Linked DNA regions of Alligator mississippiensis. The protein of the gene in region 3 interacts with the protein of the main gene of each other region in a pairwise test. Links are inferred from orthologs where the notes say so. Each region holds a gene or a part of one and is shown on either strand. Other genes may lie near its edges.

Evidence for each region.
Region 1: the proteins of PBX3 (region 3) and PKNOX1 interact in a two-hybrid assay, tested with the Homo sapiens proteins (2 studies listed by BioGRID and IntAct). The link is inferred for Alligator mississippiensis from reciprocal best matches to the Homo sapiens genes PBX3 and PKNOX1.
Region 2: the proteins of PBX3 (region 3) and MAL2 interact in a two-hybrid assay, tested with the Homo sapiens proteins (2 studies listed by BioGRID). The two-hybrid records come from large-scale screens. The link is inferred for Alligator mississippiensis from reciprocal best matches to the Homo sapiens genes PBX3 and MAL2.

Annotation. Positions count from the first base shown.
Region 1 is NC_081824.1:299,809,993-299,816,916, forward strand, and holds the start of PKNOX1 (homeobox protein PKNOX1), read left to right. Parts: upstream 1-3,904; 5' UTR 3,905-4,009; intron 4,010-6,924. UniProt on the Homo sapiens protein: Activates transcription in the presence of PBX1A and HOXA1.
Region 2 is NC_081826.1:23,438,554-23,446,289, forward strand, and holds the start of MAL2 (protein MAL2), read right to left. Parts: upstream 3,100-7,736; 5' UTR 3,052-3,099; coding exon 2,920-3,051; intron 1-2,919. UniProt on the Homo sapiens protein: Member of the machinery of polarized transport. Required for the indirect transcytotic route at the step of the egress of the transcytosing cargo from perinuclear endosomes in order for it to travel to the apical surface via a raft-dependent pathway.
Region 3 is NC_081835.1:66,704,089-66,711,191, reverse strand, and holds the start of PBX3 (pre-B-cell leukemia transcription factor 3), read right to left. Parts: upstream 3,007-7,103; 5' UTR 2,911-3,006; intron 2,905-2,910; exon of another isoform or gene 1,898-2,904; 5' UTR 1,770-1,897; coding exon 1,573-1,769; intron 632-1,572; exon of another isoform or gene 603-631; coding exon 529-602; intron 339-528; exon of another isoform or gene 79-338; intron 1-78. UniProt on the Homo sapiens protein: Transcriptional activator that binds the sequence 5'-ATCAATCAA-3'.

The DNA.
Region 1 (6,924 bases), on a different chromosome or scaffold from region 3:
AGAGCTAGGGAAGAGCTACCCAGGGGGTGCTTCTAGTTGCCCTGAAGAGCCATGTCCCCAACCCCTTGCCATGAGAGAGCACAGTGAGCCGGTGCAGACATCACTGCACAGAGGGTCCAACAGTGACTGCGACCTGGAGAGCTGTTCAAGGCGGCTTGGGTCTCCAACCCTAACATGAGGCTGGATGGTGCAGGTGTCACTGCATGGAGGGTCCGGTGAGCTGCTCAAAGTGGCTCAGGTCTCGAACCCCAGCACCAGTGCAGACGCTGCTGCATGGTGAGCCATTGTTGGGCCAAGGGCCCTTGGAGGGGGCAGGGGGTGGTTCCCCATTCCCCACTGCTCGGAACAATGGCCCATGGGCAGCGCAGGCTCCGCAGCAAGGCGGCCCTGTACTGGAGCCCTGGTCCTGGGCACACAACCTGCTGAGAAGACCGAGCCATCTGGACATGTGAACAAGCCACGTGGGAATGAGACAGAGCACTCACTGCAGGAGCCACTTGCCTAGCTGGGGATGAAACACTGGGAACCCCTACTCACCGGGAAGCTTGACTTCTTGGACAAGGGGTTTCCCACTGGGGAGGGATATCAGAGTGGGTTTAGGCTAGAGAGAGAGAGACTCCTCTAGAGGAGGGGGGCATTTGGGATTATCATGCCTTACATTTTGGAGTGTTTATTAATTGCTTGTTGTGTTTTCTATTCTGAAGAGTTTATTCACTATTTATTGTGCTTTACATTTTGGGGGCGCTTACCCACCAGTTGCTGGGACATACTTACCCTCTGAGGATCCATGGGTGAGGTTTCTCTTGTGGATCTTGGGGACTGCTATACTTACCTATTATTTGTTGACTTGAATGTATTATATGTAAAGAGTTATCTTTATCACCCATCCAGTTTATTCTATCCCCTCACCTTTTATTCTGCATCTGAATAAACTATGTATATAGTTAAGATATTGTGTCCTGGTCTTCCTCTAGAGACACTGGAGAAGGGTAAGCTGTGAGCAAGCTGCAGTTTCCATTTCCAGCACATACGCCCTGCTGATCATCCCCTTCTATTGGAAAGGGGGCTTGCACACTCCGGTACACCTGGGATACAAATGTAAGAAAAGAACTGGGTGTTCTAGGTGGTAGGTAAAGTACTTTTAGTAACTTAGACCTTGACCCTAAAAGCACTTACACAAATGCCCACCATTCAGATAACTTGGTACTACTCACTGCAATAAATTTAACCAGGTATAAAATTGTTTCCAGGCCCAGTTGTTAAATGTATCTGATTTAGGGATACACATACAACTTCAGTGCTCAATATGTTCTACTTGCACAAATTGAAATCAGTTTGGGAAGACTGGTATTTCATCATCATTTGCAATTGCAAAGCTTATAAATGTTGCCACTTATTCAAAGCTTCTTCCAATGTGTTATTGCAGGTATTAAACATTTTGTACAGCCAGGTTTACTTGTAAGTTCCATGCTGTCCAAGAAAAGAAGGTGACTGACACTTAAGTTTCACCATTGACTTCCTGTGTGCACCTGTATTTGTGAAGAACACAGTGTAATAGTAAGCCAGTTGCGTGAGTAATCTTCTAATGTATTTATTGTGGAGAAAACCTTCACTGTGGTACTGAGTCCTCAATGTTTTGTGACTGAGAAGGAGAGGCACAGTAAGATCTTAGCACCCAGAGATGGAGAGAAAAAAGGATTTAATTTTCCAAATTTTTCATCTTCTATTATTCTCCACTGTTTTTTCTTCTTCCTCTCACTTTCTATTCTTTTTTCCTCCCTTTCATTCTCTTCAGTTTCTAAATGTTGCAGACTTTCTGAGATGGGTGATCCTGATTTCCCTTCTATTTTCTTTGCTGAATCTTACAAACGTTATTTTCACAGTCCTTAGCTCCACATTGCTCTGCCTGCCTCGAAGAAAACTGGTGAGCACAAGAGCTGACAAAGAGGCAAGAAAAAGGACCAGATGACAATTTGTGACTGGCCAAGTGAGGATGGCAGCATAGGGTGACTAGATTCCCAAAGAAAAAACTGGGATGACATCAGCTGGGAACGGATTGGGGGCATGACAGCAGGGGACAAAAGCTGCTATGTGCAAGGGATATGTGACAAGCCTGTTGCATATATGCTCAGGTAACTTGTCTTGGTAACATGGGCTCTGCTGACCAGTGCTGCCTCAAACAGCCTGGTCTGGCAGAGGACTGTAAAAAACCCAAACTTAGCTACTGGGCTTACAGGGAAGTCAAGATAGGCCCTGAATGCAGGAAGGTCCCCAGGGAAAGCAGGGGTTCATGGCCATCAGGCAGCTTTGCCTGGCCTGACCCTGCCCGGGGCTGCAAAACCTGGGACAAATCACTGGTTTTTAAACAAGCTCCTGCCAGGCACCAGACCATGGCTGGCACTGTGGGGAGGCACTCTGCTCTCTGTAGGGGAAAGGGAGCCAGGCTGCCCCTTTCCCCTCCGTTCATGGCATTGAACGAAGCAGGCTGCCTGTTGCCTCTGCGAGCTCAGGCCTCTCTGAACCAGCTAGTCTGTGAGGCAGGTATTATCAACCAGGCGGCCTTGAGATCCTTTAGGGATGCCCCATGTGAGGCATGCCAGCACAACCCGGAGAGAAACCCAGAGGTTTCCAAGAGGACCCCAGAGTACGGCAAATGTTCTGCCCTGCTGTGGGCTTTCTGGACAGGCCGATGGCCCCTGTACTTTTCCATAAATCCAAAAAAACCCCAAAAACAGGAGAGGAGGGGGGAAACAAAGCCGGCTTTTCCTCAGAAGCACCCTGCGAAGAGGGGCCGGGTGCCTAACTAGGGTTGGCAACCCTGAGTCTATTCGAGGAGGTTTCCAAAATGCCAGTGTGCCTGCAACACAACACGAATGCGCCCACGTACTTGTGTGTATCAGGTACGGATTATGGTGTGTAGACGTTATGTCAAGAAGGCAAATGCACGTGACTGTTACATTTTAAAAACCCACTGGACTACTGTACAAATCAGATTCAACATTTAATCTTTATTTTAATGAACGCCCTGTCATTGATCTCTCAGGTGACTCCCAGCAGTCTCCTGGAGATTTCTTTCTCATTCCTAGAGACACCAGGGCAATGCTGGTGGGTTGGCAACCCCAAGCCAAAGGGTGCCCTGAGCCTCCAGGAGCTGAGCACCCCCTACACGCTGCCTGATCTTTCTCCCGATTCAGGGTGGCGCTGTACAGATGGGCAGTGTCGCCCAATTGGGTGGCAACAGCGGGGCAGTCTGCTAGCTGCCAGGCTCTCAAGGACCGGTGTTTCTAGGAGGGGGGGATAGTGCTGGGGACACATGTGCTCTCGGGAGCTGGTGAGCGGTGTGTTGCAGGGCATGCATGGCGCTGGGACTGCCACGGCCCACCCTGGGGCGCCACTTGCAGCACACCACTCCCCTGGGGCTCACAGGAGCACCTGGGGCAGCCCCAGGCCAGGTCTGCAACCCCCAGAGCCCTTGGGCCCACAAGGGAGGGCCTGTGGGGCAGAGGCCTGAGTTGGGGGGCTGCATAGTAACCACCCCTTCCCTTCCAGGAGGAGTGCGTGGCCTCCCCCTCATTTAATTTGGTATCTTCCCCAAGTCCCCCCACCCTCTACTTCATTTGGTATCTTCCCCCTGCCCCCACCCCGGAGAGTTAGTTCCATCTCCCTCCCACCCCCGACCGAGCTGAAAGGGGCGGTGCAGAGCTGGGCGAGTCCCCGCCCCCTTCATGAATATTCACAAGGCTGGCGGCGCGCAAGCCGGGGAGAGAGAGAGAGAGGAGCGGTGGCCCCACCCCCGAGCCGAAGCTAGCGGCCGGCGCTGGGCGTGTCCGCGGCGGGCCCCGCCCCCGCGGGGGTGAATATTGATGAGGCGTGGCGCGCGGCGCGGTGTCGTGGCGGGCAGCGCGGGCGGCGATTGGCCCGCCGCGGGTGTGCGCGGTGACGCGTGTCGCGGCGGTGCGGGTCCCGATTGCTGCAGCCGCTTGTCAGTGTGACGAAGATTGGCACCCAGGTAAGCGCTGTCACTCAAACCCGCTCCCAGCCAGCTCCGCCAGCCATCCATCACGGCGCGCCCGCCGCCGCCGCCCGGAGCCCCGCCGCGCCGTGCCGCGCGGCCCGGCCGGGGGGGCGGGGGGGGCAGCCCGCCACACGGAACAGCGGCGGGGGAGGGGGCCGCTCGCGCTCATGCCCAACCCGAGCGGGGGGGGGGGAAGGGAGGGAGAGAGGGAGGAAGGGCGGGGGTGAGGGGCGGTGGCGGGCAGGGGAGGGGGGAGCGAGGAAATTTCTGGAACAGCCGCCGTGGAACCGTTGTCTGGGCGAGCGCGCGCCGGCCGGGTGTGGGCAACAGCTGTGCGCGCGCGCGCGTGTGTTGGGGGGGTATTTAAAGGCCCAGCAGCAACTTGGGGCACATTCCGATGGAGCCGGGGGTCCCTAGCTCTGGTCTTAACACCTGCCCCAGTGGGGCTCCCTTCCCCCCGCCCCCCTACGCGCAGTGGTGTAGTCCGCGGGGAAGCGGTACAGCTCCCTCCGGAGTAGTAGTGCGGCCCGGGGTGGGGGGGGGTTTCTCATAGCGCCTGGGTATCGAGTGCCCCCTCCTGCCCCTGCACCCACTCCTACGGCAGGAGGCGGGGCAGCCGTTGCCGCAGTCGCGGCCCCCAAGCGCGTGCAGCGTGAGGCCCCGCCCCGGCGGGGCAGCGGAAGAGCCCGGCCCGCCTAGCCCGCCGAGGCCTGGTCGCGGTGCGCGCGGCTCGGGGAGGGCGGCTGGCTGCGTCCAGCCACCTGCCCGCTGCTGAGCCGGCTGCTGCGTGTGCCCCAGAGGCTGGGCTCGGCTCTGCAGCAGCTGCCGCCAGCAGATGTAATAGTCACCTCGGGCCGCCCAGCGTCCCCCGGGCTTCTCCGCAGCCTGGCCTGGGAGCTACTGCTCCCCCGGGGCCGGACCTGCTCTGAGCTCATGTATTAACACCGACACCAGCACCTGGGCCTGCTCTGTGCTTCTGCATCTCTACTTCTCAATCTCCATTTCACTCTTTCTCTCTTGAATTTTATCCATGCAGTGGTTCTGGGCAGCTAATGCTCCAAATGATTTTAGAGGTGTAGTTGCAGTGGCGTGGGGTTTTTTCCTCTTTTTTTTTTTTTTTATCTTGACTTTTTTTTTCCTGCTGGTGCCCAGGTTCTCAACCTTTTTTGTACCAGGACCCATTTGTAAACATCGATGGCCAGCCCGGACCCAATGCCCCTCACTCCTGACCTGCTGCCCAGTGCCCCCAGTGTGCGCGGGGGCGGGGGGGGAGGGGGCAAGCAGCCCCTTGAGGGGATGGAGCTCTGCCAGCCTGCAAGGGAAAAACCACAGTTTCCCACGTTTTTCTCTAAAGAAAAATCCATTTTTAAAGTTTGTGACCCTTTCATGTATTCTTGCAACCAGTTTTGGGTCATGACCCATGGGTTGCAAAATGCTGTGTTAGTCAGCTTTGATTGATTGATTTGTTCCTCATTTAGGGTAACTAACGTATCTCAGGGGAGACCATTAGGGTCCTGATCTGTTTCCCTTATTCATCGGAGTCTTGTACCTGCTATATATATAGTTTTGGCCACACAGTTACAAATGCTGTCCAGGCAGGGTTCATTTTTTTCCTCAGCCCCTTTTGGAATCTGCTGCGTGTTCCATTAAGTTGGTTACTGAAGTGAAGAGACTGTGTTTTGGCCTGGCTTGCAGACTTTGGAGAACCTTTGAGTCACAGTTGTCTTATGTCACAGTCCCTTTATTCTAAAATCTCATTCAATTAAAATAGTCTTGCATTTTTTCACCTTTTTAAAAATCTTACAATAAAGTGAGCACTCATATTGCTGTTTACCTATTCAGGTGTTCATCATCTTGCTTAGAAATTTATTTCTAAGTGTTCTTCACTTTTCTTTTTGCTACAGTATCACTCTTTTGATAAGATGTGATTTTTAGAGGTTTTTAAAAAATACATATCATTAGTATAGCTACCAACGCTGCAGCAGTTGTATCACTTTACAGATCCTGGTATAGTCCAAGTGGTAAAACGTACTTATTGCAAGAATGAATGTTAATTGTGCATGCAGAAAGCCATAGTCTCTTAAATTGCCTTGAAGGGTAGAAAGCTAATGACTGCTGCAGTATTAGAAATTCCCTGATACAAAGTCACAATATTTAGGGCAGTTTTAGGCAAAAAAAAAAAATATATTGTAGACTCACTTTCTTAATACCTCTGCCAAAAATTGCAGAATTGTGTTTTTTAAATATGAAAATAACTGCTTTTGTATTTAATCATGCATTGGTTTAAATTGTCGAACCTACACACGTAACAAACCATATATTTGGGTAAAACAGTATCTTGCCTCATTTGATTTCATCCTTGGTTTTTAGCTTATCCAAAATCTCTAGTTTTTCAAATTTTGTTACAAATGAGAATATTTTTTGCTGTTTGGTTTATTCTGGGCAGTGAAACATGCTCAGTGCCTGTCCCTGCAAGTAGCAATAATTTTCGATACTTCCCTGCATTCTGACAACAAAAGGCACAAATGAGAGCTTCAGAAGAACATAAGAAGTGCCTTACTAGGCGTGTCTACACATTGATTAATGTAATTACAGCGCATTAAGTTTAGTACCTGCAACTACAGGTACTAACAATGCACCAAAATCAGTGCTACTACACATTAGTGCAGATGAGCACTCTTAATGTGATGTTAATGCATGTGACTTAAGTCTATTGCGCATTAGCATGGTTTTTGCCAGCTGTGCCAGTGCACAGTAGAAGGGTATTCTGTGCATTGTCTTGTGTAGATGCACTCACTGGGTCAGACCAATGGTCCATCTAGCCCAGTATCCTGTTTCCAGGCGTGGCAGAAGTGAATGCTATACCAGGAGATCATTGAATGAAATATCTCTATAGAGTGCTTTATCCC
Region 2 (7,736 bases), on a different chromosome or scaffold from region 3:
AGTAGGATTGAATCTAAATTTTATGCCATGCAGCCATAGGCAGTTATAGTAATGAAATAAAAATAGATCCTGGTTTTGTTTTGTTTTTTAACTGAGTTTATTCTTATTTTCCTTTAGGCACATGACATTTGGACAAAAGGATAAAAGGCAATAAATGAAAAGTAAAATATTTTAAGGTTAGAAAAGCGATGGCAGACTGGATCTGGAAGGCTAAGTAAAAGGAAGAGATAGGCCAAGTTCTTTGCACTTAAGCTTATGTAACAAAGAGCAGAATTTAGCCCTCCCAAATGTCATTGTAGCATACTGATTGATCACAATGAATATGTCTTCATCTATAACAAAAGATACCCATTAAAATCACCATTGCCACTGGAAAGTGTTCCTATGTCTTTAGATCAACATGGCTACAACCTATATCCTCTTTAAGATGGAAAGCTTAATTTAGCTTAATAGTTAAGACCTTATTTAAGACAATGGGCAGTAATGACAGTGATCAAATTCAGGCTGAGTGGCCATTTCCAGTGTATACCTCCCAAGGCATGAAGCTGGAAGCAATTTTCCTTTTTTTTTCCAGATAGCAAGAACTTCAATGGAAAGCCTGCTTAGTTTCTTTTTTAATCTGGGCCTGGCTCAATTTCCAGTAAGAACAGGTAAATCCTTTGTGGTATTAAAACACAGCATATATGAATCCAATACATCTGATGTAAAGATGCACTGGCAGCCTGAATTCACAATTTCACAGGTTAGTCTGTCAGCCTTCAAGCTATTTTCAACAGTTTCTTTTCATGATGCATCTGCTGTGAGAAAACCTACTTCCTTCTACAGTAACATGGCACTGGAGTCTCAAATCCTTTCTGCAGAAAACAGGTATTTCATGGGTAATAGCCACACAGTCTTTCCACTGCATCCCACCCCTGAGATTGGCATCACGGTTACTAATTTTAGTATCTACTTTGACAATGATTTCCCTGATAATGCACCTGTCCAGTGGAACTAAAGCAAGGCACAGCACTCGTATTACACTGGTTGGCAAAACCATCAAGGAGTTAACTAACTCAGGGTCATTTCTGACTTGCCTGAGAATGGAGGACTGCACACATACAGAAGCCACAGGGTGGAAGTCAGGTGTGTACAGGGCTCCTCTGGTGGTTAGACCAGTCGACTCAAATCTGCAGCTGTAAGTAAGACTCTAGTCTTGTAACCTACATTTCCCCAGGCTCTCATGCTCAATTAGTAATCACAGCTGCGAAGCTGAAAACCCTTCTGCTCCAGCTTAATTCTAAGGACCTGACCTGTCCCAGTGAGCTCAGTGAGGGCACTTGGGTAAAGTTGGGCGTGCAGATAGAAGGCTGAGGAAATGTAAGCACATATGTGTGTATTTGTATGTAGAAACATGTATGTGTGTGTATACTTCGTATGCAGAAGGGTGCCTGTAATTTGTATGCAGAAGTGTGTGCACGTGTACCACATAGATAGAAGGGCACGCATACTTTGTATGTAGAAGGGTGCGTGCACTTCATGTGTAGGTGCCTGCATTTTGTATGTAGAAGTGTGTGTACCATATAGGTAGAACAGTGTGTTCTTAGTACAGAAGGGTGTGTGCACTTTGTATGTAGGTGCCTGCAGTTTGTATGTAGAAGTGTGTGTACCATATAGGTAGAACAGTGTGTTCTTAGTACAGAAGGGTGTGTGCACTTTGTATGTAGGTGCCTGCAGTTTGTATGTAGAAGTGTGTGCATGTGTACCATACAGGTAGAACAGTGTGTTCTATGTACAGAAGGGTACATGTACTCTGTATGTAGTTGCCTCTACTTTGTATGTAGAAGGGTGTGTGTGTGTGCGTACCATGTAGGTAGAAGGGTGCGTATACTCTGTACACAGAAGGATACGTGTACTTTGTATGTAGGTGCCTGTACTTTGTATATAGAAGTGTGCATGTGCATATCGTATGTAGAAGTGTGTGCGTGCGTACCATGTAGGTAGAAGGGCATGCATACTTTGTATACAGAAAGGTACGTGCACTCTGCATAAAGGTGCCTGCACTTTGTATGTAGAAGTGTGTGTGTGTGTGTGTGTGTGTGTGTGTGTGAGAGAACCACATAGGTAGAAGGTTGTGCATACTTTGTGTACAGAAGGGTGCGTGCACTCTGCATGTAGGTGTCTGCAGTTTGTAGGTGTGCGTGTGTGTCTGTGTGTGAACCACATAGGTTGATGGGCATGCATACTTTGTACACAGAAGGGTGCGTGTACTTTGTATGTAGGTGCCTGTATCTTGTAAGTAGGAGTGTGTGTGTGTGTATGACATAGGTAGAAGGGCACGCATACTTTGTACACAGAAGGGTGCGTGTACTCGGTATGTAGATGTGCATATTTTGTGTGTGTGTGTGTGTGTGTGAGAACCACATAGGTAGAAGGGCACGCATACATTGTACACAGAAGGGTGCATGCCCTTTGTATGTAGAAGTGTGCGCATGTGAACTATGTAGGTAGAAGGGTGTGTGTAATTTATACACAGAAGAGTGTGTACTTTGTATGTCGGTGCCTGTATTTTGTATGTAGAAGTGTGTGTGTGTGAACCACGTGGGTAGAAGGGTGCGCATACTTGTGGAGTGCACACACCCTGCTGTGTACATGTAGCTGCCTGCACTCTGTATGTAGGGCGCGGGAGTGTGTGTGTGTGTGTGTACCACGCAGGTAGAGAGGCGCGTGCACCCGCACGTAGGCGCGCCTACTCCGCACGCAGCCGTGTGCCGCCCGCCGTGTGGACGCGTGTGCCCGCGCCGTGTCCCCGGGCGGTCGCGCGTGTCCGTCCCCCCCGCCTGCCCCGGGCCCCGTGCGCAGGGGCCGCTCGCGGCGGTGGCGGTGGCGGGACGCGGCAGCCTCCCCCCCGTCCCAGTCCCGGTCCCGGTCCCGACTCACGATCTCGAGGCAGATGAAGGCCCCCGAGTAGGTGCGCAGGATGTCGAGGCCGCAGGGCAGCGTGACCCGCGGCGCCGGGAAGTAGGCGGCAGGGTTGGGGGGCGGCGGCATGGCTCCCCCGCGGGCCGACATCCCGCTGCGGCCCGGACGTGGCTGCGCCCAGGTAGGACGGGGCGGGGCGGCGCCGGGGGAGGTGCCGGCAGGTGCTGGGGGGAGGCGCTCCCGCTCCCGCCCCCGGCCCCGCCCGGCCCACGCGGCGCGGCGGTGTCGGGGCTCCAGCCCGCGAGGACGGCGATCCCGCACCGTGCGCGGACAGCTCGCCCGCCTGCTTCGCCACCGTCCTCCTCAACCTCAGCCTCCCTGGCTGCAGCTGGAGCCCTCGCTCCTCGCTCTGCCCTCGGCACCGCCGGCAGCAGCCCGGCTCCATCCTCTTGCAAGCCCCCTCCGGGGACTTGGAGGCTGCTGTTGCAGCCCGCTGCGTTATTATGAAATCTGTGAAAGCTATGCATTTAAATCGCCGTGCCTCAGGCCTATACGGAGGGGGGCCCTCGCAGTGCCAACACGTGCCCCTGCGGGCAAGTTCAAACCCTGTCCCCCATTGTGTTTACTGTGCTGCCTGGTGGCCTTCGAGCTCTTCACACAGGGTACATATAGCATCGCCTGAAGATGACTGGCACAATAATGTTGCCTTCAATTTATGCCGTAGATGCCGTCCCTGGACGGGGGGGCACAAATCAGGGTGACTGCCACAGGCCCGGTGCTTTGGGGGGCCCTGCAGAGCCAGCTCCACCCCCTTCCCCCCATTGCCAAATCTTCCGCTTGGTTTCTTGCATCCAGGAGCGGGGCCCGGCACAGGCTGTTTTGCCCTGGGCCACGCACCCTGCTTGGATCATCTCTGGTTCCTGGGGAACAGCACCTACATTGAATTTGCACAAAGCATACCTAGTTTACAGTGGAACAGATAGGGATGCCTTCCCGCGGCAGTGAGGGACAGAGACTGGGGCTAGGGAAAGGGCGGGGAGAAGAGTGTTCGCTGAGAGTCCTTGAGTCTACCCAGGGGTGTCTCGGGTCTAAAGGTGGTGAGAATCACAGGTCTAATGGTATTGCCAAGCCGAGCGTTCGGAAGTCACAAGTCAGTTCCCCTGCAAAACGCCAGGTCCGTGTATAGATCATGAAACTTTAAACTTTGGAGGAGACGGCATTTACCTTCTGGTTACAGAGGCTTTTCTCTAAGATCGTTTTCTGTATGACCATTCTGTGTGATCTACTTTTTAATAAGCAGCACAAACAAAAAAAGTGGAGGTTACAGTATGTTCATGGTGGCAGGAGCTGAAGTTTTAAGTTTTCCTAAGTTTTTTGGGTGCGACACATGATTTTTCAGAAGTAATGAATGATGCAGCCTGGACCAGTACCTCTCCGTAGGATCATGTATTGAAAATGGGCCCAAATACTGGGCACACATGGGTTTCAGCCAATTGGGTCTGGACTCAATCTAGTCCCTGTTTCCAACTCTTGTGTACACAATATGTCCCCAGGGTCAAATCTTTCTTCTGAGCCTTTCACTGGGATATGGGACTCTATAGTCCAGCAGCCATGTATCCCACAGTATCAGTCTCAGACCAGCTGAGTCCTGTCGTGGCTTATAGATGTACTTTTTGGGCGTGTCCAGACCCTGTGTGTACAGGTAGATCCCAGAGCCTCTTTTGGTAGATCCTGGGTTGGGGGGAAAGCTGGGCATGTGCACTTGTGCACACCCACTGCCCCCAGCCCCAGCAGGTCAATCTGTGGGGGAGGGAAGGGGCAGGGGCCAGATTGAGGTCTCCGTGGCGAGCGGCTGACTGTGGCCGGCCAGGAGCAGGGGAAGGTTAGTGGGGCCCCAGTCCGGCCAGGTGGTGGGAGGATTGGAGCCCAGGGAGGCTCCTCCAGTGGCACTTGGGGCTCCCTCCCCATCTCTGCGGGGGCAGAGGCGGCTGAGGTTGCTGCCGCTGTGCCTCAAGTCCTGCTACAGCTGGCCACGTGCAGGCGCGGCTCAGCTCAGCAGCAGGGACTCACGTGGGGGTGGTCTTGGCCCAGCCAGATCTGGGAAGATCTGGTCGTCCAAGGGTGCGTGGGGGGTGCTCCCACCGCTGGGCACAGCTTGGTGGAGGCCCTGACAGCCCGTGCCCCTCCCACCTGTGCTCGGGGTGCAGCAGGCAACCCACAGCAGCAGCCACCTTGTCCCCAGCGCAGGTTGGGGGACATTGGCCCCTGGGTTCTTTGCCACGCTGCACCCAGCAGCAAGAATGCCCTCCCCCAGTGACCACCAGACCATGGAGACTTTCAGACCCAGCCAAGCCAGGGCCCAACACCACCTTTCTCTGGCTGCTGGGCAGGTGCAACTCAGTGCAATTGCAGCACAGAAGGGGGATCAGGCCCAGCTGGATCTGGGACACTCCATGGTCCAGGGGAGCATGGGGCAGGGGGCGGAGGGAAGTGGGGCAGGGCGGGGCAGGGCAGGACAGGGGGGCAAGGCAGCCAGGGGGACACAGTAGATCCTGGGGTGACCTTTAGTTCCAAAAAGTGATCTTCACCATAAAAAGGTTGGAGACCACTGCTCTAATACCACGTTTTCTCCCAATCTGTGGTTTGTCAGTTTTTCAGGCTGGATCAAATCCATTTTGCACTCTCCTTTCCTGCATATTTTTCTTCTCTGTGATGCATGTTAGCCCTCCCCCACCTGCTACAGGACAACACCTTCTGTTAGACCCTGTCGCTAAACATGAGTTATACTGGGAATTTTCCCTTTCACCCAGTGATGCTCACCCTACCGGCTTCTGTGCAGAAGGCCCATTGTTTGTGGTGCCAAAAGTTGAGGGACAATCAGAATCAGCTGCCTTAGACTGGCTTGTTAGTGGCTGTCCTTCACCAATGTCAAATGTCAAGAATATTTCATTAGAAAGGGACTGTCCACAGGGCACTAAAATAAATTGCCTTGAACAAGTTTTGACATGTTCAGCACTAATGCAAAAAGGAGATTCAAATTAAAAACAATTCACAATTTGATGCAGACCTGTTTCACACTATCACAGAGCTCCTGATGAATTTGGGTCATTAGTGGCAGTTGTGAAACTTTGGGTTTGGCTTACTGCCTTCTTTCAAGTTTTATTTTGCTCTAACTTCGACTGAAGTATTAAGTACCAGCTGGTCCAATGGAACGTCATACCAGTAGATATTGTCAATACTTGCAGCTTGAGAGAGAATGCCAGAGGCAGAGCTATTTCTAAAAAGCTGTTTGGTCACCAATAAGTAACATGTTCTGTATTGGTAGATTGGTATGATTTTTGCCATGCAAAATTTGTGTGTTGGCACAGCCAAGAGCAGGTGTCTGACTGGGGGTGGGGCAACTGTCAAGGGGCAGGGCTACCCATGTGGCCCTCGACAGTTCACCAAAACTTCGTAAGTGGCCCTCTACCCGAAATAATTGCTCGCCTCTGTTTTACATGGTCTTTTGTGACAGTTTACATGCTTGCAGATTCTAATGGATTTTTGTTCTGTTTTAAAAGTCTGAATCCTTTAAGAATTTTAAATGTTAGGATGCTAATCAGTTAGATTCAGAGACTTAAGCAGGTGTTTATGTTGTAGAGTTCGCTTCATATGTGTAAATATTTGAAATATTTGCATTTCGGCCTGCTGTAGTCTTTCCAAGCTGTGAGAGAGCCTAAGAGAATTGTGGAAGTGTTGTAGGAAGCTAGTTAATGCTGAATTGTAAGCTTTGTAGGTTTAGAAAGGATATTGATCCATTGATCCAAACCACATAAACAGAAATGGCTTATGCAAAACGTAAGATAAACTATAATCCTTTATGACATGTGGCATTGCCCATAGCAAAGTTTAAGGCATAACATATTACATATCACATCTTTTAGGCACCTCTGTTATGGTCTACCCTAATAGAGAAGACAGCTTGTCACAAACCTCTCAATTCCCTGAAGTGTTTACCACAAAATATTGCCATGTTAACTGTGAAACATGGCAATGCCTACTGGGCTGGACAAAAGCAGCGCAGCTTTTATATCTCCCTTGTGAATGCAATGATCATGAGATATGACAGCTAATATTATGTGTGCCATAAATCTGCATTATATTTCCTTATCACCTGGACATGGTATAAGGTTTCCTGATTTGCAGCTAAAGATATCTGCAGGTAGTAATAACAATGATATATCAGATTTCATGTTCAAAGAACTTTTATAAACATTACTGAACTCTCCCAAGACCACTGGAGACTATGTATAGCTATTCTGATTTCTTTGTTTCATCCTGCAGTGTCAGGGTGAAACAAAGGCCACCAAGGACTGGGCTCCCAGAAATAAGGCATATTATCTGTATTTCTCTTTTTTTAAAGTAGGCACCCACATGGTCGTCGCTAGGAGTCAAATGCTGGCAATATTTGCTCACAGTCAGATTTGTGCACACTGCTTCATTAAAATAAATAGAGCAGAGTTCAATGTGGGTTTTTTTTCGGAAGTATAAGGACAGTCTTCTCCAGTTACTTTCTCTTTCTGTAGAAAAATAACAAGAAAGCTCTTTGGGTCCTTTTTAGCCTTGCAGAACTTTTTTTTTTTTTGCTTTCCTTAATCTGGTAATTATTAATATAGCAAAAAATGTAAAACCAGCTGCCAGTTTCAGCGGATCTAGACTGCCTTGTTTAAACTTGGATTCATATCACATACGTCTTGTACTTCCAACTATGATTCTGATAATAACTGGAGTAGCTCTAGTGAAGTCAGTGAAATCAAATTAGCATAAAACAGGCACGAAGTAAGATTAGAAATAAG
Region 3 (7,103 bases):
ATTTCTAGAGACACATGCAGGTCCCTGAGCAACTCGGAAGGCTCCAGCCCATTTCCTGCCTGGTCAGGGCTGTGTCCTATGGCAGATCCTGCGCTAATTGCAGGGCTCCACGAGAAGGTGACCCGAGTCAAAGAGAAAGTTGCCGGCCAGGCTGCTCCCTTGCTCTCACTCTGCAATTGGCTTCTGCGAGCTCCCATCGCTCCTTTAAGAAGCTGCCACACAAACAAGGCAGCTGCTCTGCTCCTTCCCTGATTGCAGCCAGAGGGGGAATGGACTCTGCGGACGGTGACACACGATCATTTTCATCTACATTTCATTTTACATCGGGATTATGAATTGTAAAATTTGCTGCAGATTTATGGCAGCCCCCCTCCCCTCCTCTCCTCTCCTCTCCCCTCCCCTCCCCGGGATGAGAAGCAGGGAAGGAGGCAATGATCAAAGATGGCTGCGGTGCCCCGAGCAGCCCGAGCCGGAGGAGAGCCCCGCGCTGCTCGGCTGGGCAGAGCCGCGGCCCGCCTGGGCTCTTACCTGTTTTCTCTTTGATTTCACACAGGACACTGAACAGAGCAGGCTTCATCCTGTGGCAGTTCAGTGCATGCTTTCTGCAAAACAGACAACACAAAACACACGGGTTAGCACCAGCTATTGAGAATATGGCGCCTTTCTGCAAGAAAATGCTTGAATTGCCACGCTGCCCCGCGCCCTGCAAGGCGGCGGGGAGTCAGGCTCGTGCGGGCTGGCGCCCCGGGGGCTCGGGCCGGGGCAGCGGCGGCAGCTTGGCCCGAGGCGGGTGCAAAGTACCAACCATCCGGGGGAGAGGAAGCGAGCCGGGGTTTGACCTCGGGGACAAGGGGCGCAGGGAACGGGGGGGGGGGGGCGCCCCTCTGCTGCCCGGCCCGGCCCGGCCCGGCCCGCTTCTGGGCATCGCATCAGCTGTGTGCAAATGCCCCGCGATGCCATGTGCATCCGTCACCGCCTGTCTGCAGCCCTTTCCATGCCGCTACATTGCACCTGATTTATTGGGGGGGGGGGGGAGGGGGGGGGACGGGACTTCCAGACTTCGCCTTCTTTGTTTTGTATTTACTGTGATTGGAAACATTGAGGGTTTTCCCCCTGCAGCAATATCTTGTCAGCTTCGCAATTCATCTGCCGCCACTTCGGGGGCAGGAGGGGAGGAAAGAAAGTTACACTTCTTAGCAAGCAAGCGAAGCCTCCCGGAGCACAGACCGATTTTGGCAGCCGCTCCGGGACGGGGGTGCGCCAGGGGGGCAGGCGGGGAGCGCCCCAAGGCACGGCGGTGAAATGGGACTATCGCAGCGAGAGCGGTAGTGCGGTCAAATGGAGGAGAGGGATGGGATGAGCATCGCGAAGTGATAGATCTAGCGATTTAAAAAAACCCCCAAATGAATAGCAACTTGGGCTCTGCCTTTGCTGCTTTGCATTTCTCCCACAGTATTAAGAAGTTGCTCTAATGGTGAGACTCCGCAGAGAAACAAAAACCACACACACACACACAGAGAAAAAAAAAAGAAAAAAAAAAAAAAAGAGAAGGTTTAATTAGACGAAACCAACTTTGCTTGTGCCTCATCCAGGCTTTGGTCAGTGATGGTCATGATCTGATGGAGGATGTCTCCGATGTCCTGCTTCCTGCCGTCGCCGTCTGCCCCTTCGTGTCCGTGGGGAGGAGGCAGAGCCATGCCCCCCTGCACCGAGTGGCCGGCCAGGTTCACCCCGGCCAGAGTCTGCAGCATCCTGGACTGATCATCCATGCTCCTCCCGCAGCCCGGGCGGGCGAGCGGCGGCGGAGCGGAGCACGAGCCGGGCGAGCGAGCAAGGAGCTGCTGCCTCCAAAAGAAAAGGCAAATAAATCTCTGGCTCTGGCAGGCAGCGGCAGTTCCTGGCGGGAGAAAAAAAATTAAAAAAAAAAATAAAATCTAGATAGGTGAAGAAAAATAATAATAATAAAAAAAACAAAAATCAGTATTTGGGCTTTGCCCGGATCTCGGTTGTTTATTCCACGCTCCGCTCCTTCCCCGCGCAGTAAATCACCCTCTTCTCTAGTTACAATCTTCCTTCATCATCATCATCGCCAGCATGTTTGCGGCGGGCACCGAGCACTTGAGCAGCTTTCCTCGCAGTTCGCGTGTCCGGGTGGGGGGGCGGGAAAAAAAACAAAAAACAAAACGGGGGGCGGGGGGGGGAAAGGAAGGAGAAAAAGAGAAAATCTTCCTCCACCGCTTGGCTTGTTCCCTGCTGCCTTTTTGTTGCCGGGGCTTTGGTCCGGAAAGAAGAGCGAGCGCCCGGTGCTTCTCGGCCCGAACAACACACGCACACACGGGGAGAGAAATCGGAAATTAAAAAAAAAACCCAGCGAGGAGGAAACAAAACAATCCCGGAGCCCCCCCGCCCCCGCCCCGCCACAAAATAACAATTAAAAAAAAAAGCCGACAAAACAGTAAAAAAAAAAAAAAATTAAAAAAAGTGTGTGGGGGGCAGAAAATTAAAAAAAAAAAGGGGGGGGGAGAAAATTAAAAAAAAAAATTATTAGGGGAATGAGTTGCCCCCCTCCCCCCCGCCCGACCGGGAGTGGTGTGTGCTGAGGGGCTCGACAACAACAAAAACCCCGGAAAAATGAGGAAAAACACCTCAAAAGTTTGAAGTTGTGAGGAAGAAAAATAGCAATAATAATAATAATAATAATAATAAAAGCAGGGGAGGTCGAGAGGAGAGAAGGGAGAGGAGGAGGGGGGGGGGAAAAAAAAATTAATGACACGACTCTCGGCAAAGCACTGTGCAAAAATATCCGGCAGCGGGAATTTATGAGGCGGCGGCCGGTGACTGTGTGTGTTTTATGTTGTTTGATGGCCGCTCCGGTGAGGGATTGACAGGCTGCCAACGCCACTCACTCACCCGCAGACGTGTCACCCTGTGAGGAGGCGAGCGCCGCGCCAGCTCCGCGCCGCGCACGCCCCGCCCCTGACCCCGCGCACGCCCCGCCCCCCGGACACGCCCCTCCAATGGGGGCCGCGGGACGGGACGCCGCCGGGGTCACCCGCCGCCCGCCCGCCTGCCCGGCCGGCCGGGCCCCGCGCGCCGGCGGAGCGACCCCGCCACCCACGGCCAATGGGAGGGCGGCGCGCGGGCCAGTGGGAGCGCGCGGGGCCGCGCCCCGCCCCTCGGCCCGCCCCGCCGAACTTCGGATTGGCGCGTTCGAATGGTCACGTGGCAGCGCCGGCCCCGCCTCCTCCCTCTCCATGGCAACGCGCCGGCGGCCCGGCTTCCGCTAGGCACCGGATGAGGTCCCCCCACCCGGGCTTGGAGCCACTCGTGGGTGCCCTCGGCATCCTCACGTGGTGATTCGGGAGGCGGGAATCGACACCTCGCACCCACTGAGAGGTGGCCTAACGAAAAAAGAAAGATGTTTTTCTGCAATTATTATTTTTTGCCTGTGTCCCACTTGGAATCGTGAGGGGACTCATGAGCGCCAGCACCTGGGGGCACGGCTGTGGGCAGCGGGGGTGTGGCGGCGCCAGCGGCGATCATGGGACTGCCCGCAGACGCTGAGGCGCTGGGGGTGGCAGCACCTTTTCGCAGGGGGTGCACGTGCACCCGCGTGCATCCCCTGTGCGTCGCCAGTGACATGAATAATACCTGGGGAGTCGTATCTGTGTATATTTTTGTCATATTAGAATGAAAATGTCCAGATTTTTTTCTTATTTGGGGGCCCCTCGCATGGGGAGGCCCCAAGCTGTAGTTGAAGTGGCTTAAGCCTACATCCGGCACTGCCGGTGAGGCCTGCGCAGCTCTGAAGCCACCACTGTGCTCCTGAAAACAGCCTCTTGGGATCGTGACTCCAAAACCAGGCCGGTTTGGCCCCTCTGGACAGAACAAAACTGGGGGCTGCTGGAAGGCCCTTTTCTGCACAAGGGGAACGACCCGTTCGATGGCGGCCTTGCAGACAGTGGGCCTGGGTCACTTGTGACCAGTGCGCAAACCAGGCCTCCCTGGCTTGGGGAGCGTGGGGACTGCCATCAGTACAACGTAGATTCATAGATGTTAGGGGCTGGAAGGGACCTTGCAGATCATCAGCATGATATTGAATGTTTCAGGGGTGCTTTGTCACAGGGTGGCTTTAGATAGGAGGGAACATGTCCAAGCTAACAGCTCCATCTGTGTTTTGTAGGTGTCTGGCCGGCACCATGGCCAAAAGAGAGGGCTTCACCTTCCTCCCAAGCTCCCCTCGCCGCCCTTCTCCAGCACAGTTGACACGACTGTCGTTTTGCCTGTCGCCCAGGCCCGTAACCTGAGTGTCATCTCTCGATCTGCACGTCCACTGTGTACCGAAATCTTCCGGATGATTCCTGTAAGACATCTCTAGGCCTCTCCTGTCCTTCCCCACAACTAATGCTTCCGCCCATGTCCTCATGACTTCCCCTTGATTGCCGAAACTTGAATGCAGTCTCATCCCACTGATGTTCATCCAGAATGTTTTTGTAACAATTATTTTCCTTTGGCCTTGACATCCCTCTGCTCCCCTCCAATGGCTTCTTCATCACATGAAAGATAAGCAGTAGTGTCTTCACTTCCCATACCCTTCACAGCCTCTCCCTTCCTTATCTATCATCTTTTGTGCACTATCAAGATCTTGATTCCTGCCTCCAATTAGCCAATTACGCCACTACTATCCACTCATTTCATTTTCAAACAGCTTCCTGCTTGCTCCTGTGCTGCCCCCTCACCCGTGGAAACAGCTCCCTGTAAGTATTTGCAAAGTTACTGCATTATTTTCCTTCAAATATTAAAACTTTTGCTGTGGCGTCCTTGGCAATGGCTAGGCTGCTGATGTGCTGATACTACTTTCTACCAGGCTGGCCAGCATTGTCCCATTGTTTCCCTAAACTCCTCCGTTTATCTTTTGTTTTCAATAGGAAGACTTTTAAGCTGCTGGGGGCATTGACCATCCCTTGGTTTCTGATAACACAGTACACAGAGCACTGGGGTCTTAGTTCATGACAAAAGCACCTCAGCTTTATTATGGAAATGATGCATAATTTATTGAAAAATTATCTTTGTTTAAATGCATCCCGTTTTATTCTAATAGGGCTGAGGTGTGTATTTTCAGTAACTTCTAATAACGTGGAAAGTTTGGAAGGACAGCAATATACCAGAATGACCATTAGATCCAAATCATTTAATGACCTATAATTCAAACACTTGAGCTTGAAAAAAAATAATTGGGCCTGAAAATGACTGTTTGTTGAGAATGCTAATGAGAATTTTTCTGCAAGGTTTGATAAAGCTTTGTCAAAGTTAGAAACAGTGTAAAAGAGGACTTAAAGTGGAATTTGCTTTGCTCATCAGCTAGGGAGAGAGCATAAGCTTGCTGGGTATTGTAAAATAAGTAAATAAAAAATGGATATTGATAGAGGTCACACAGGAAGACTGTAGTGGGTAGGAGCTGGAGCCCAGACCCAGCCTTGCAGCAGCTGTTAATTGCAGGAATGTTCTAGTGCTGTCTCTTCTAAAATAATATTTATAGAGTGTGTGTGTGACACACACACAAATTTCCTTTGCAGCTATTTTTAAAGAAAACTTTCACATTTTAAGAATATTATTTATTTATTTATATATATAGTATATATATAAATAGAAGAATATATATATATATATATATATATATAGTACAGCTTGTAGTATGGTTACCTTTGCTTGTCTCATTCCAACAGATGCCATTTGTGATACTTTTAAGTTTGGTTTTCTTATTTGAATAATTTTATTAGAATTTTGTAGCATGTCTAATTCTAATATTTATTAAAATACATGTAGATGCAAAACACCACTTTATGCTTACGATTATTTATTAATGCCACATTTTAAAATATTACACAGAAAATTTATTCCAGTACACATTAGTAAATAAATTATGCTTGTAATTTCTAATGCATTTTTAATTATAAATTTATCCATGTCTCCTTTTATTTATGATAACCGTTCTCGCCATTGCAACACAGTATATATTACGGGAGACACTATTAATTACACATTCTTGGACATTGAGCTTGACAACACATACTTTGAATCTGATTTTTTTTTTTTTGAAAGATTCAAAGTGTCCTTGCTGGTACTCTTATTCTAAAACCACCCATAAACAGAAACAGTGTCTACAAATGTGTGTCTACATTTTGGAGATTACCGTGTACCCAAAATCAGTGGATACATGGTATTCTGTGGCTGGTTGTTAGACTGCAAATGTGTACGAAGCCACACTCCTGGACAAAGAAATGATTTATTTTCCAGCTCTGTTTCTTTTAGACTAAGGCTGCCGTGCAGCATTTCAGAAGCTGTGGTGGCAGCTCAGGTCTTTGGGACCCTTGGAGCCGGGCTAGAGAGATCCTGGTGACCACACTGCGCGTGGGGATAGAAGGCGGCAGAAATGCAGGTGCGTCTCCCGCAGAACACGACAGCCCGTCTTGCCAGGATGGGTTTCCGCCAGCCCGCAGCTCCAGGCTCGGCTCCCAGTACTTCGGCTTAGCCGTGACGGGACAGGATGGGGCGTCCAACATTCAGCGCAGAGCTTTGCTCTCGCTGACGAGGCTGGCATCGGTTCCTAAGGAAGCCAACGTCAGCCTCGTGCTTCGTTCACCCCCGTATCTGCAGGTGCTCTTCGCTTCACGGCGTCTTGTCACGATGCGGTGCTCTATCAGCGAGCACGCTCGTTTAGGGTCGGGCGACACTCGGTTGTAACGTTGTTTGGGCGACGACTGCGATGGAACTGGATTCGCTTCACATCGTGTCGTGTTTTTCAAGACGGTAACTCCCACGTTAAGTGAGTAGTGCCTATACATCACCCAGCTACAGACCCCCCGGCCCTGAGCTGCGGCCTAGATGCCTTTTCCCACGCAGGGGGCTCCATGGAGGCGGCCCCGCAGCGAAGGAAGCGAGCTACCCGCCCCGTCCAGGCCGGGCCCCGACGGGCGCACCACTGCGCCTGCGCGGAGCCGAGCCGCCGGCCCCGCCCTCTGCCCGGCCTCGGCGCCTGCGCGCTGAGCGGGCGCGGCGCCACTTCCGCCAGGGGGTGCGCTTCCGGGTCAGCGCTCCCAGTT